Drosophila melanogaster: one gene and its partner. The protein of the gene in region 2 interacts with the protein of the main gene of each other region in a pairwise test. Each region holds a gene or a part of one and is shown on either strand. Other genes may lie near its edges.

Evidence for each region. The genes of interacting proteins can lie anywhere in the genome.
Region 1: the proteins of CG30349 (region 2) and kipf interact in a two-hybrid assay, tested with the Drosophila melanogaster proteins (one large-scale study listed by BioGRID).

What each region holds. Positions count from the first base shown.
Region 1 is NT_033777.3:7,912,266-7,917,009, reverse strand, and holds kipf (kipferl), read right to left. Parts: upstream 3,160-4,744; 5' UTR 2,927-3,159; coding exon 2,373-2,926; intron 2,219-2,372; coding exon 1,736-2,218; coding exon of another isoform or gene 1,732-1,735; exon of another isoform or gene 1,641-1,731; intron 1,098-1,640; coding exon 830-1,097; 3' UTR 557-829; downstream 1-556. Other genes in the region: CG10445 (uncharacterized protein), read left to right, coding at 1-82; Rfk (riboflavin kinase), read left to right, coding at 3,997-4,081, 4,146-4,522. UniProt on the Drosophila melanogaster protein: DNA-binding zinc finger protein that recruits chromo domain protein rhino/rhi to specific chromatin regions enriched in H3K9me2/3 histone methylation, mediating piRNA (piwi-interacting RNA) biogenesis.
Region 2 is NT_033778.4:8,905,813-8,911,428, reverse strand, and holds CG30349 (uncharacterized protein), read right to left. Parts: upstream 3,912-5,616; 5' UTR 3,839-3,911; coding exon 3,533-3,838; intron 3,480-3,532; coding exon 2,950-3,479; intron 2,895-2,949; coding exon 2,409-2,894; intron 2,353-2,408; coding exon 2,224-2,352; intron 2,168-2,223; coding exon 2,018-2,167; intron 1,998-2,017; exon of another isoform or gene 1,959-1,997; coding exon of another isoform or gene 1,080-1,958; intron 943-1,079; coding exon 845-942; intron 786-844; coding exon 622-785; 3' UTR 544-621; downstream 1-543. Other genes in the region: Pgi (phosphoglucose isomerase), read left to right, coding at 1-3, 59-249; CG8252 (uncharacterized protein), read left to right, coding at 1,080-1,958; CCT8 (chaperonin containing TCP1 subunit 8), read left to right, coding at 4,517-4,576, 4,756-5,616.

The sequences.
Region 1 (4,744 bases), on a different chromosome or scaffold from region 2:
TCCAGAGGAAGGAGGAGAAGTGACCAAATGTGTTGGCGGTGGTCTCAACCTCGCGGAGCTAAAGAAACTCTTCGAGATGTGAGTCGAAGTATTTTAGTTAGTTTTAAGAAGATTATGTTTTTTTTTGTTTAAATTGTTCGCATACAAAAGCTTTACAATTTCACCAAAGTGTTTTTTAACGGATTGAATTCGTTTACAATTGTGTATTAATACTACACAGACTACCTTTAACGTTATACGTTACATTTGATATAGTCGCACGTCCATAAAGCATAAAGCATATATATTCCCTTTTTTTCTATATTAAGAACAAAACGTACTAATAATAAAGCATACTAGTTGTTTTCATGATGTATGGATCATTCTTTTTGTCTATTTTTCCTTTTGTTCTCGCAAAACCACAACAAAGCTAAAAGAAAAAAGTTTGAAGCTCTAAAGATATATAAGAAGGCATTAAGTAGCATGTGGTAGCAATCAATCGATTGTTTAATTATTTTCAGTATAATAATGTATTGTGAAATATACAATTAAAAGGAAATTTCAATAATATAAATTTAGAGCTTATTCTCAGTATATTTGAGTTTCTGTGAAATATATAATTAAAACGAAACTTAAATAATATTAATTTTGAGCTTATGAAAGTAACAAAAGAATCATATTTAAGAAAATTCAAAGTAAGAATCAACAACAGAAGTTTAGACCTGCGGTCATTATAATTATAATGAATAATAAATCGTTTATATTCCTTTCACATATATTAATCTGCTTAATTCAATGGTTGTTTTCCAAGAGTATAACCGGTAGTCACCCGTTTGGACATGATCTTCTCCTACATCGCTATTACGTTGTTGCTGTGAATGCGTTTTTTGTGCTTTCGCAAGTAGTTAACATCTACAAATACCAATGAGCAAAATTCGCAACGAAACAGATCTCCCATGTGACCACGCTCGTGCCTTTTGAGATGTTTTTCTGTTTTGAACTCCTCGGAACAATAGGTACATTTTTTAAGATGATGTTGGCGATTGTGAGTAAGCATATGCCGCTTCAAGGCGTAGACACTACTGAACTTCTTTTGGCAAATATCGCATATCGGTTTCCTGTTGTTAAATAAATAGAAGCAAATGATATTAGTTGATTCGCCTCGACTATCAGATACCCGTTAATCAGCTAGTAAAAGTGCGAGGGTTTTCTATTTCTATAAATTTTACTAAATCTTAGGGATTTAGCTCCTATAGTTAACGGGATCACGGCGTTCTTACGGACACGCAGACGGACGGACAGACTATTGATCCTGTGCAAGATTATTATTTCCTTCTACTAGTAAACCTTTTTATTACTTATCGTGTAACGGGTATACAATTTTAAAGTTTGGTTAAAGTTTGATTATTCAAATTTTCTTCGGCGAAATGGCTATCGCCAAAAATTTAAGTAAAAGAATAAATGAAAACAATAACTTAATGTCCGTTTGTTGGCTTTTTAAAGGTCTGAAACAAACTCAAAACCTTAATTTTCTAGATTTTTAATTCCAGAGATCTCTGCGGACAGACAGACGGAAAAATAGACGAACGGACGGACTGATGAGAACTTATGAACTCGGCTAGTGGTTCCGATTAAGAATATAAAGGGGTCAGATACGCTACCTTCGCTCGTCACAAATTTCTCAGCGGTACTAGGGTATAAGTATAACTATCAGGTATAACTATATTACATAAGACTGGTGGAGTTCCAAACTCACGGCTTTAGCATAGGTGGAATGCTGCACGTGCCATTGAAGGTGTTCTTAGTCCACTTTGGTTTTAGATCCTGCGCTTGATCGCTGTCGTCCGAGTCAGGATCCTTCGTGGACTCCGATTTTGAAGAGCCCGGCCTTTGTTTGTGCTCTCTGCGATGGATTTCCAGCTGAACGTGTTCGATAAATACCGCTGAGCACTGGCTGCAGGAGAGCGGACCGTCACTGTCGTGGGTGCGCAGGTGCCTTTTAAGGTGATCTTTACGCATGAAAGCCTTCGAGCAGTGGAAACACTTGTGCGCTGGCTTGCTTAGGTGGTTTCGCAAATGCCGCTTGAGGTTCGATTTTTGCATATAAGTGCGTGGGCAGTAGGGACACCTGTTGCACAGATCGGTGATGTGGGTCCTTAACTGGGTCTGGGAACAAAATCGCTTAGAACAGTGCGGGCAGTTGTAGTAGCCATCGGCATCGCAGATCATTTTGGTACTTCTGAAAATCGGGAATATAATTATTTAAGCTTATTTAAGTTATTTTTAATTATTCATATAAAAGTATAAGTAATCAAAGATGTACCTTCAAATTTTTATAATTTTTCAATTATTTGTCTATCTTGAGGCTTGATATTTATAACAAATTGCATTACCTTGTAGCTTCCTTTGGGATCATGTCTGCCTGTTCTTCTGTGCGACAAGTCCGCTTACGAGGATGCAGGGTGAAGGACTCCGGTGGGCCATCAATATTTCCCTCTTGGAGCTTCGCTTGGAGTGTTTGTTTTTGACTAAGATCATCATCTGGTTTCTGCGTTTTTGTCATTTGCTGCGTATCCTGTTGACGATCGCTTTTGAGCTGCATTTTCTGGTTTATTATCTGGTTCTTATCCCCATTACATGCAGCTAAGTGCACTTGGTTTTCCGGAGCACCCGACTGGTTTAGGACGCGGAAGAAGTGCTGGTAGCTCTGCTCGCTTTGCCACTTGAACCGGAAAGCATTCTGCACGGCCAGGACGCAGGAAACGCATATGAACTGCGGCAGCAGGTCGCCGCGTTTCACTGGACGTTCGGTACACCTGGCCAGGATGTGCGAGAGGCTCATCTCCGGTTCGTCGAGCACAGGATCCCTTACATTGGCGAATATATCTACCAGGGTGCCGGTCTCGTCCATACAAGTCCGGCACACGTTCTTCGCGCTGTGCATCATCTAAATCAACAACCAAATGCAATGTTTTTTAATAAAAGAACAGTTTACGACATCTTATGAATTGACCATTGACATTGGCCTTGTTTTGCAAACTAATAATCCCGTTTCGCTGGTTTTACAGTTATTGCTGGTAAATTATATGAATAAACGGCACATTTTTTAAAGAGTTCAATTGATTTCTCATTCTACACAAGTGTAAGTGTTCACTTTTTGGAGAATTGGATGATAACTGGAACTGCAAAGAAACCAACCGTCGCACTGATCATTTGTACATTTTTTTTAGTGCTGAATAATACATGTACACATGGAAAACAATTATTCAGAATAAAAAAAATTGAGATTGATATGATATGAAAAAATATGTATATATGTATATATATGTATATATGTATGTATATTTGTATTAATAACACAAATATTTTTCAGGCAAGCTGGCTTTCATTGTAATTTAATTACGATTTGGTGTTCTATTTATTTTGGGAATAGAGTACTAGTATTTACACAAAACATCTGATGATTCATTTATGAAATAAAAATTCAATATTTTCAATAGAAGCTCTACACAGCAAATAAAAGCTTTTGATGAAAATATGTTTAACCCGCCGCTAAAATTTTAAAATCAATCCAATTACATTAATTCTGCATTACAATATAAACCCAAGCTTTATTGATTAAAACCATACTGTGCGTAATATATACATTTCAGTTTCTTACAATTTAAATATCTAGTAAAAAAAATTCGCTAATTGACAGTACTATATAACTGAAACAGGTTGGCAGCCCGAAGGCAACAGCTGATTCGCTTTATGAATGCGGAAAATTTGTCTGTGTGTTTATGAATATTATGCCGATCAATGGAACGAGGAATAGTTATGTGAGTGGCTACGCGGCAATCACAACATACGTACTCTGTAGAAAACCCCGCTTGACTCCTTGCCAGACTCGATAAATTGGCCCGCAGCGCTTTGCGGTTGCACAGAATACCGCAAATCAACCGCCCATTGGCCCCTGATATTCATTTCAAGCGCCAGCACAGCAGATCTGGGTCAGATTGCAAGGAAATCTGGGAAATGCTGAGCCAACTGCCTCTGTTCGCTGGGGGCGAGATTGTTCGGGGCTTCGGACGCGGCTCCAAAGAGCTGGGCATCCCAACAGGTTGGTGGCGACGTTAGGCGAATTGCGAAGGTCATTTCTAATTGATAACCAAACCACTTGTTAGCTAACTTTCCGCTGGAGGTGGTGAAATCGCTGCCGGAATCCCTGCCCACTGGCGCGTACTACGGTTGGGCAAACGTGGATAATGGACCCGTGCACAAGATGGTCCTCAGCATCGGCTGGAATCCCTTCTACAACAACAAGGAGAAGAGCGTGGAGACGCACATGCTACACGACTTTAACTGTGACCTTTACGGCCAGACACTCAAGATATGCATTGTAGGCTACCTGCGACCGGAGCGCAGTTTCGACTCCCTGGAGTCACTGATTGCCGCCATCCGCGGGGACATCGAGCAGGCCAAGGCGTTCCTCGACGAGGCGGACAAGGCCAAGCTGAAGGAGGCTCCGTTCTTTACGGAGAAGCTCTGCTCGTCGAAATAGCGATGGCGTAGGTCAGTCTGGAAAAGGAGGCTTTGCTGAAGGACGCACTACTACTCTTCGCACGGCTTTGAAATAGTTATTCCATCAGTTATCTTATCTCTCAATTTGCGCGATGTGCAAAGCGGAATTCGAATATCGAATCAAGTACTTAAGCTAAACGTTTTCATTAAATTCCTACTGCTCATAATGACACCAACAAATTGAACCAATCGCATTTCAGTT
Region 2 (5,616 bases):
TTGGTACGTCTCACTGTTTCAGCTCACGAGCACCTATTAATGTCAATTGATTTTGCAGCGCTGTACGAGCACAAGATCTTCGTTCAGGGCATCATTTGGGACATCAACTCGTTCGACCAATGGGGTGTGGAGCTGGGCAAGCAGCTGGCCAAGGCCATCGAGCCGGAGCTGGATCACTGCAACGAGGTCTCCACGCACGACAGTTCCACGAACGGTCTAATTAACTTCATCAAAGCCAATTGGAAGTAATCATGTCTGGCTATTTGTTGCGAATTAAAAAGAAATGTTTACACAAATGCTCTAATTGTTAGTAGTTTCTGAGCCGTTATTCAGTAGCCGCCGCTTATGTATACTCGAGCTACAAGCCCCCTGTTATTGGCACATTATTCAACTGTATTTATGAACTGGATATGTTTGTTTGCTTGCGTATCGATGAAATCTCGTGTCGGAATTAGACCAACAATTGGCTCTCACTATTCGTTGTTGCACGTAGTTTAAAACCGTAAATAAAAATTTATGAATTCGATGTAAAAGACTGTGTTTGGAAAAAAATGCTAATTTATTTTCTCGCGGCGCAACAACAAGGGAATTGCATTTAAGCTTAAATTACGGGTAGACTGTCTAATCCATGGATACGTCAGAGTCTGTGTCTGCGTCGGCGTTACCATCGTCGGTCGCCAGGTCGTCGTCGGCCACCAGCTCGTCTTCCAATGGGCTCTTCGGACTGCCTGGCTGATCCTCCTCCAGATCGCTCCAGTTCGTTTCTGCTTCGGGATCGGGCTCATCTGCAAGCAAGCGAATTAAGACTCGAGCCTTGTGCGAATAAAACCACTTGATAACTTACCTGGATCTTCGTCCAGGATCAGGGCTTTGTTATCGTTGAGATGATTGTCCGCGTTGCGTTTCATCTGGTTAATTATCAGGTTGACTCGCCCGGTTATTCTAAAAATAAAGAAGGCATTGAAAAGGTGTTATAACAATATTGCCAATATAACAATAATAGGAGTACACGCATTACTAAATTTTGTCGTGGCCAGATTTCGAAAATGGATCTTTTGTGCAATGATGGCGCTAGCTGTATGGACTACTTCTCCAGCCCCCACAACAAGAAACCCCCGAGTCCAGGCAGTGGCGTGCCAGCATTGGGACCAGGCGGTGCCCTACCCATTGCCATAATACCCAGCATATCCAGCTTAGTCAACCAGTGCAACAAGCCGGCCTGCGATGACGCTGATATGCAGTGCATCATCGACCTGATCGAAGGCACACTCTGCGAAGCGGTGGCCATTATTGAGTCAGACCCGCGTGGTCTTTTTATCTACAACTTTCCGAAAAAGCAAAAGATGTCCTCCATCAGCCTGATCTCTTCAGTGTTCACCGACACCATTGTGGCCAACGGAGAGGATGATCCCTCGATCACGAATCATTACACGGGTGGCCTTGGCATTTCGGCGGACTCCGTATCCAGTGGCTTGGCGCGCAAGATGCTGACCATCGGGGACTTTGAATACTCCAATGCCATTGCCGACATTAGGGATTTTGTCAGTCGCTGGGAACTTTCGCCGGACACGAAGTGTGTGGTGATCAGCAATCCGATTCGACACGAGGTGGCCAAAAAGGGAACCATTCTCTTTGTGGATGCCCATTTCTCTCGGCCAACACCCCGTTGTCCGAATCCTCTGGCCGTCGCCAAGGTGCGTTTCATCATTTCCTTGTCGAAGATTCTATTGAAGCATTATCCCGTGATGATCACCTACCGCTTCGAGGGTTACAACACGCTCTACTACGGCCTGGGCGAACGATGCCTCAACTCGTTCACTTTTCAGCGATTCTACATCGACACCATTCTGCACACCAAGCTGACCTTCTTCGCTGCGATCTCGGAGTGTCGCCACGGCACCATTGAAAAGCCCAAGAATAATATCAAGCCGAAAAATTCAAAGAAATCGGGATCTTGAACTTGATTTCCCTATTAAAACCTTTGTTTTGTGTCTTTCAATTCCCCAATTTTACTTACTGCAAAGCTTCCGATAGACAGTGCATGCGCTGCTCCGCCACGCCGAGGCAAACGGCTAGTTTTTCGCGCAAAGCCTCCTTGTCCTCGGACATCAAGACACTAGTGTGGGTGGAGGTCAGTGCGTGCAGCCAACGCAGGGCGGAGCGGACACTGTAAAAGAACGTATTTAGAAAAAGACTCAATAGGGCTCTACGGAAAACACTCACCTCGCGTGCTTTCCTTGCAGCAGGATGGAAAGTTCGTTGACCAGGGGATTGACATAATCGAGCGGTAGCCGATCCAAGGTCAACTGTATCGTCTCTGGATCCTGAGTGCTCAGAACGGCTTGTATCATCCTTAAAAAACGAACTTCTATTAAAACATCTATTGCCATTGTTCGAAAATCCCTTACGCCTGATCCTTGCTGTGTAATGCCTGCATTAGCAGCTGCGTTTTGCTCTGCGTCAACAACTTGCCGCCACTCAGTTTGGTTCCTTGAATTTTAAGATGTTCTAGTCGGGCTTCCATGGGCACTTCGTTTTGCACTTTCTTCTGCGAGATGGGCAGGGCGCTGTTGTACTCCACATTTTTTTGGTTTACAATGGGCTTCTGGACCTTGGTGGCGGCCTGGTAGCCCGGCTGCTCCTTTCCCTTCTTTTTCGCATAGAGCTTTTTGGGATCGGCGCGCACAATAACGTTTAGTTTCTCGCCATAGTTGGGCGTAAAACGTTCAAACTGCAGCTGTTGGCGACTTCCGTAGCCAAAGAGGATTTCGTGGGAGCGATTTGAGTCTGTCACAAAGTGGGCCGCCACGGCTAGAAGTGGTTCCACTGTTTCGGCGCCATCGGAAACGATCTGCAGCGAAACCTTGGGCTTCACAAACTTCTCTGCGGATAAACTGTGAAACATAGTACTTCAGTACGAGTGACAAAACGTGTATTCACATGACCCACCTGTTCACATTCAACAGGTAAATGTGTATGATGCCATTGCGGGTAACACTGGCCACACGTAGCTGACCATCGTCGCGCACTTCGCTGGTTAGACAGTAGGCCAAGTCCTCCATGAGGAGCGTGCAGGCGGAGGCTTTGTTCTTGCCCTTCTTGTCGATCTTCCAGAAGCAGATTACGCGCTCCATCTTCGCGGTGGTCAAAACGAATTCAGTGCCATCTGTGCTCGCCACGCTGCTGATTGTGTTTATTTCGCCCGAGTGGCCGGTGAACGTTTCCACCAGCTCCTTTGTCTTGATATCGTACACCTTCAGCTGTCGGTAGCCAATGGCCAAGGTGCCACTTTTCTGAAGGTAGACTATATTTTGGGGCTTCTCGGGTCCCACTTGCCATTCGGCGATGGAGCGCTCGTCCGTCAAGGACCAAACAACAACCCTACAATCGGCACCCACAGTGTATAGGTGGCCAGCGTTGTCATTTGTAATTGAGGTCACTGGTCCATCATGGCTGTCGCCACTGAGCGTTCGAGAAATCTGCAAGGATTGCTTGTGGTTTATTCGCCTTCAAGGCTCTTTGTCCGACTCACCTTTCCCTCGGCTAATGAGTATATAACCACTGAGCCCTTGTACGTTCCCAGAGCAATGTGAAGCTGATCACCGGCTGCATCCTGTGCCTGGAGGCTCTTCCGCGACTTCTTGGGCCGGGAACCGGCCACCAAAACCCACGTGAGAGCTGTGCACGACCCGGATAACTGTAGATTGGGCGTAAACTCCTGATACAGCGTGTTCGTCTCTGTGTTCCATATCCGCAGAACTCCCGACTCGTCCACCGAGGCAAATAGTTGGCCACCATTGGGCGAAAATCCCAACACGTGCTTCTTGCCCAGCGACATCGTTTTTTATGTTTTGAATTAGAGATGGGCGCTAAGGCTAGTGTTTACATCGGCTCACACTCGTCGCACTTAATGCAATCTATCACGCAAATGTCACGCACGACTCACGATTGAATTGCATTTACCGACGTTTCCTATACCCTTGAAAGATTTATCAAATTATATGCAAACAAAATTCATCGAGTGAACAATATAATAAACCAATGGGAATGTGAATTTTTTAAATAAACTTTTCAGTTTTTAAATTAAATAATAAAATATTTTACTCTAATTGTTTTAAAATTTCCTCAAAACTTAAAATGAGTAAATTCTTTTGCAACTGTAAATATTACTTATTTGGAGTAACTTATATACATTATCCTGGATTATTTAAGTAAATGCGTTCAAAGACCAAGAAATAAACTCGATTTACAGGATTCTTTGGGGCGTAAACTCCACTGCTGAACTATATTGTTAATTGCATGCTATTCATCATAAACCATTGAGAATCGTTACCTTATTGAAAAAGATCAATTCAAATGTAAAATAAAAATAAAATAGCGCCAGTCACCGTTTACGATAATCGATAGGCAAGTGCCATCGCTATCCCATCCAGAATGTTCGCGGCCACTTTGAGGTTATAACTATAGCTGGAATTTACCGACTGACTCCGTGTGAAATTGAAATCTGTGTTAAAAAATGGCTTTATCCGTTCCCAAGGCTCCCGGTGTGTCGCAGATGCTGAAGGATGGCGCCCGGGTAAGTGCAACAAGGAGGAATAACTCTGCGAGGAGTCCGCCGGGCATCGGTTTCATTGAGATTCGGCTTAAAAGAAAACATGCCGTCTTGCGGAGGCGCGTGATTAGTCATCCTCATGGAACGGGGCTCGACATATGAAAGAAAAATGACTAATTTAATGGCTTTACTTGTGTCCTCAGATGTACAGTGGGCTGGAGGAGGCGGTGTTCCGCAACATCAGCGCCTGCAAGGAGTTTGCACAGACCATGCGCTCTGCCTATGGGCCAAATGGCATGAACAAGATGATCATCAATCACATCGAGAAGCAGTTCGTGACCAGCGATGCCGGCACCATCATGCGGGAGCTGGATGTTGAGCATCCAGCCGCCAAGTTGATCGTCATGGCCAGCCAGATGCAGGATGCCGAGGTGGGCGATGGTACAAACTTCGTGGTGGTGCTGGCCGGAGCTCTGTTGGAGTCCGCTGAGGAGCTGCTGCGTCTAGGAATCACCACTGCCGAGATCTCCGACGGCTATGAAAAGGCCTTGGAGAAGGCTCTGGAGATTCTGCCCAATCTGGTGAGCCACAAGATCGAGGACTATCGCAATGTGGAGAAGGTCAAGGAGGTACTCCGCACATCGATCATGTCGAAGCAGTACGGCCAGGAGGACTTCCTCAACGATTTGGTGAGCAAGGCCTGCGTCTCCATCTTGCCGGATGAGGGCACCTTCAACGTGGACAACATTCGCATCTGTAAGATCTTGGGCAGCGGACTGACCAAGTCTGAGGTGGTTCGCGGCATGGTCTTCAAGCGCTTCGTAGAAGGCGATGTGACCTATGCAGAGAAGGCCAAGATCGTGATTTTCTCCTGCCCCGTCGATATTATCCAAACTGAGACCAAGGGCACAGTGCTGATCAAGTCGGCCGACGAGCTATTGAGCTTTTCCTCCGGCGAAGAGAGCCTGTTGGAGAGCCAGATCAAGGCTATCGCCGACGCAGGTGTCAAGGTGGTTGTGGCCGGCGGCAAGGTTGGCGACATGGCTCTGCACTTCCTTAACAAA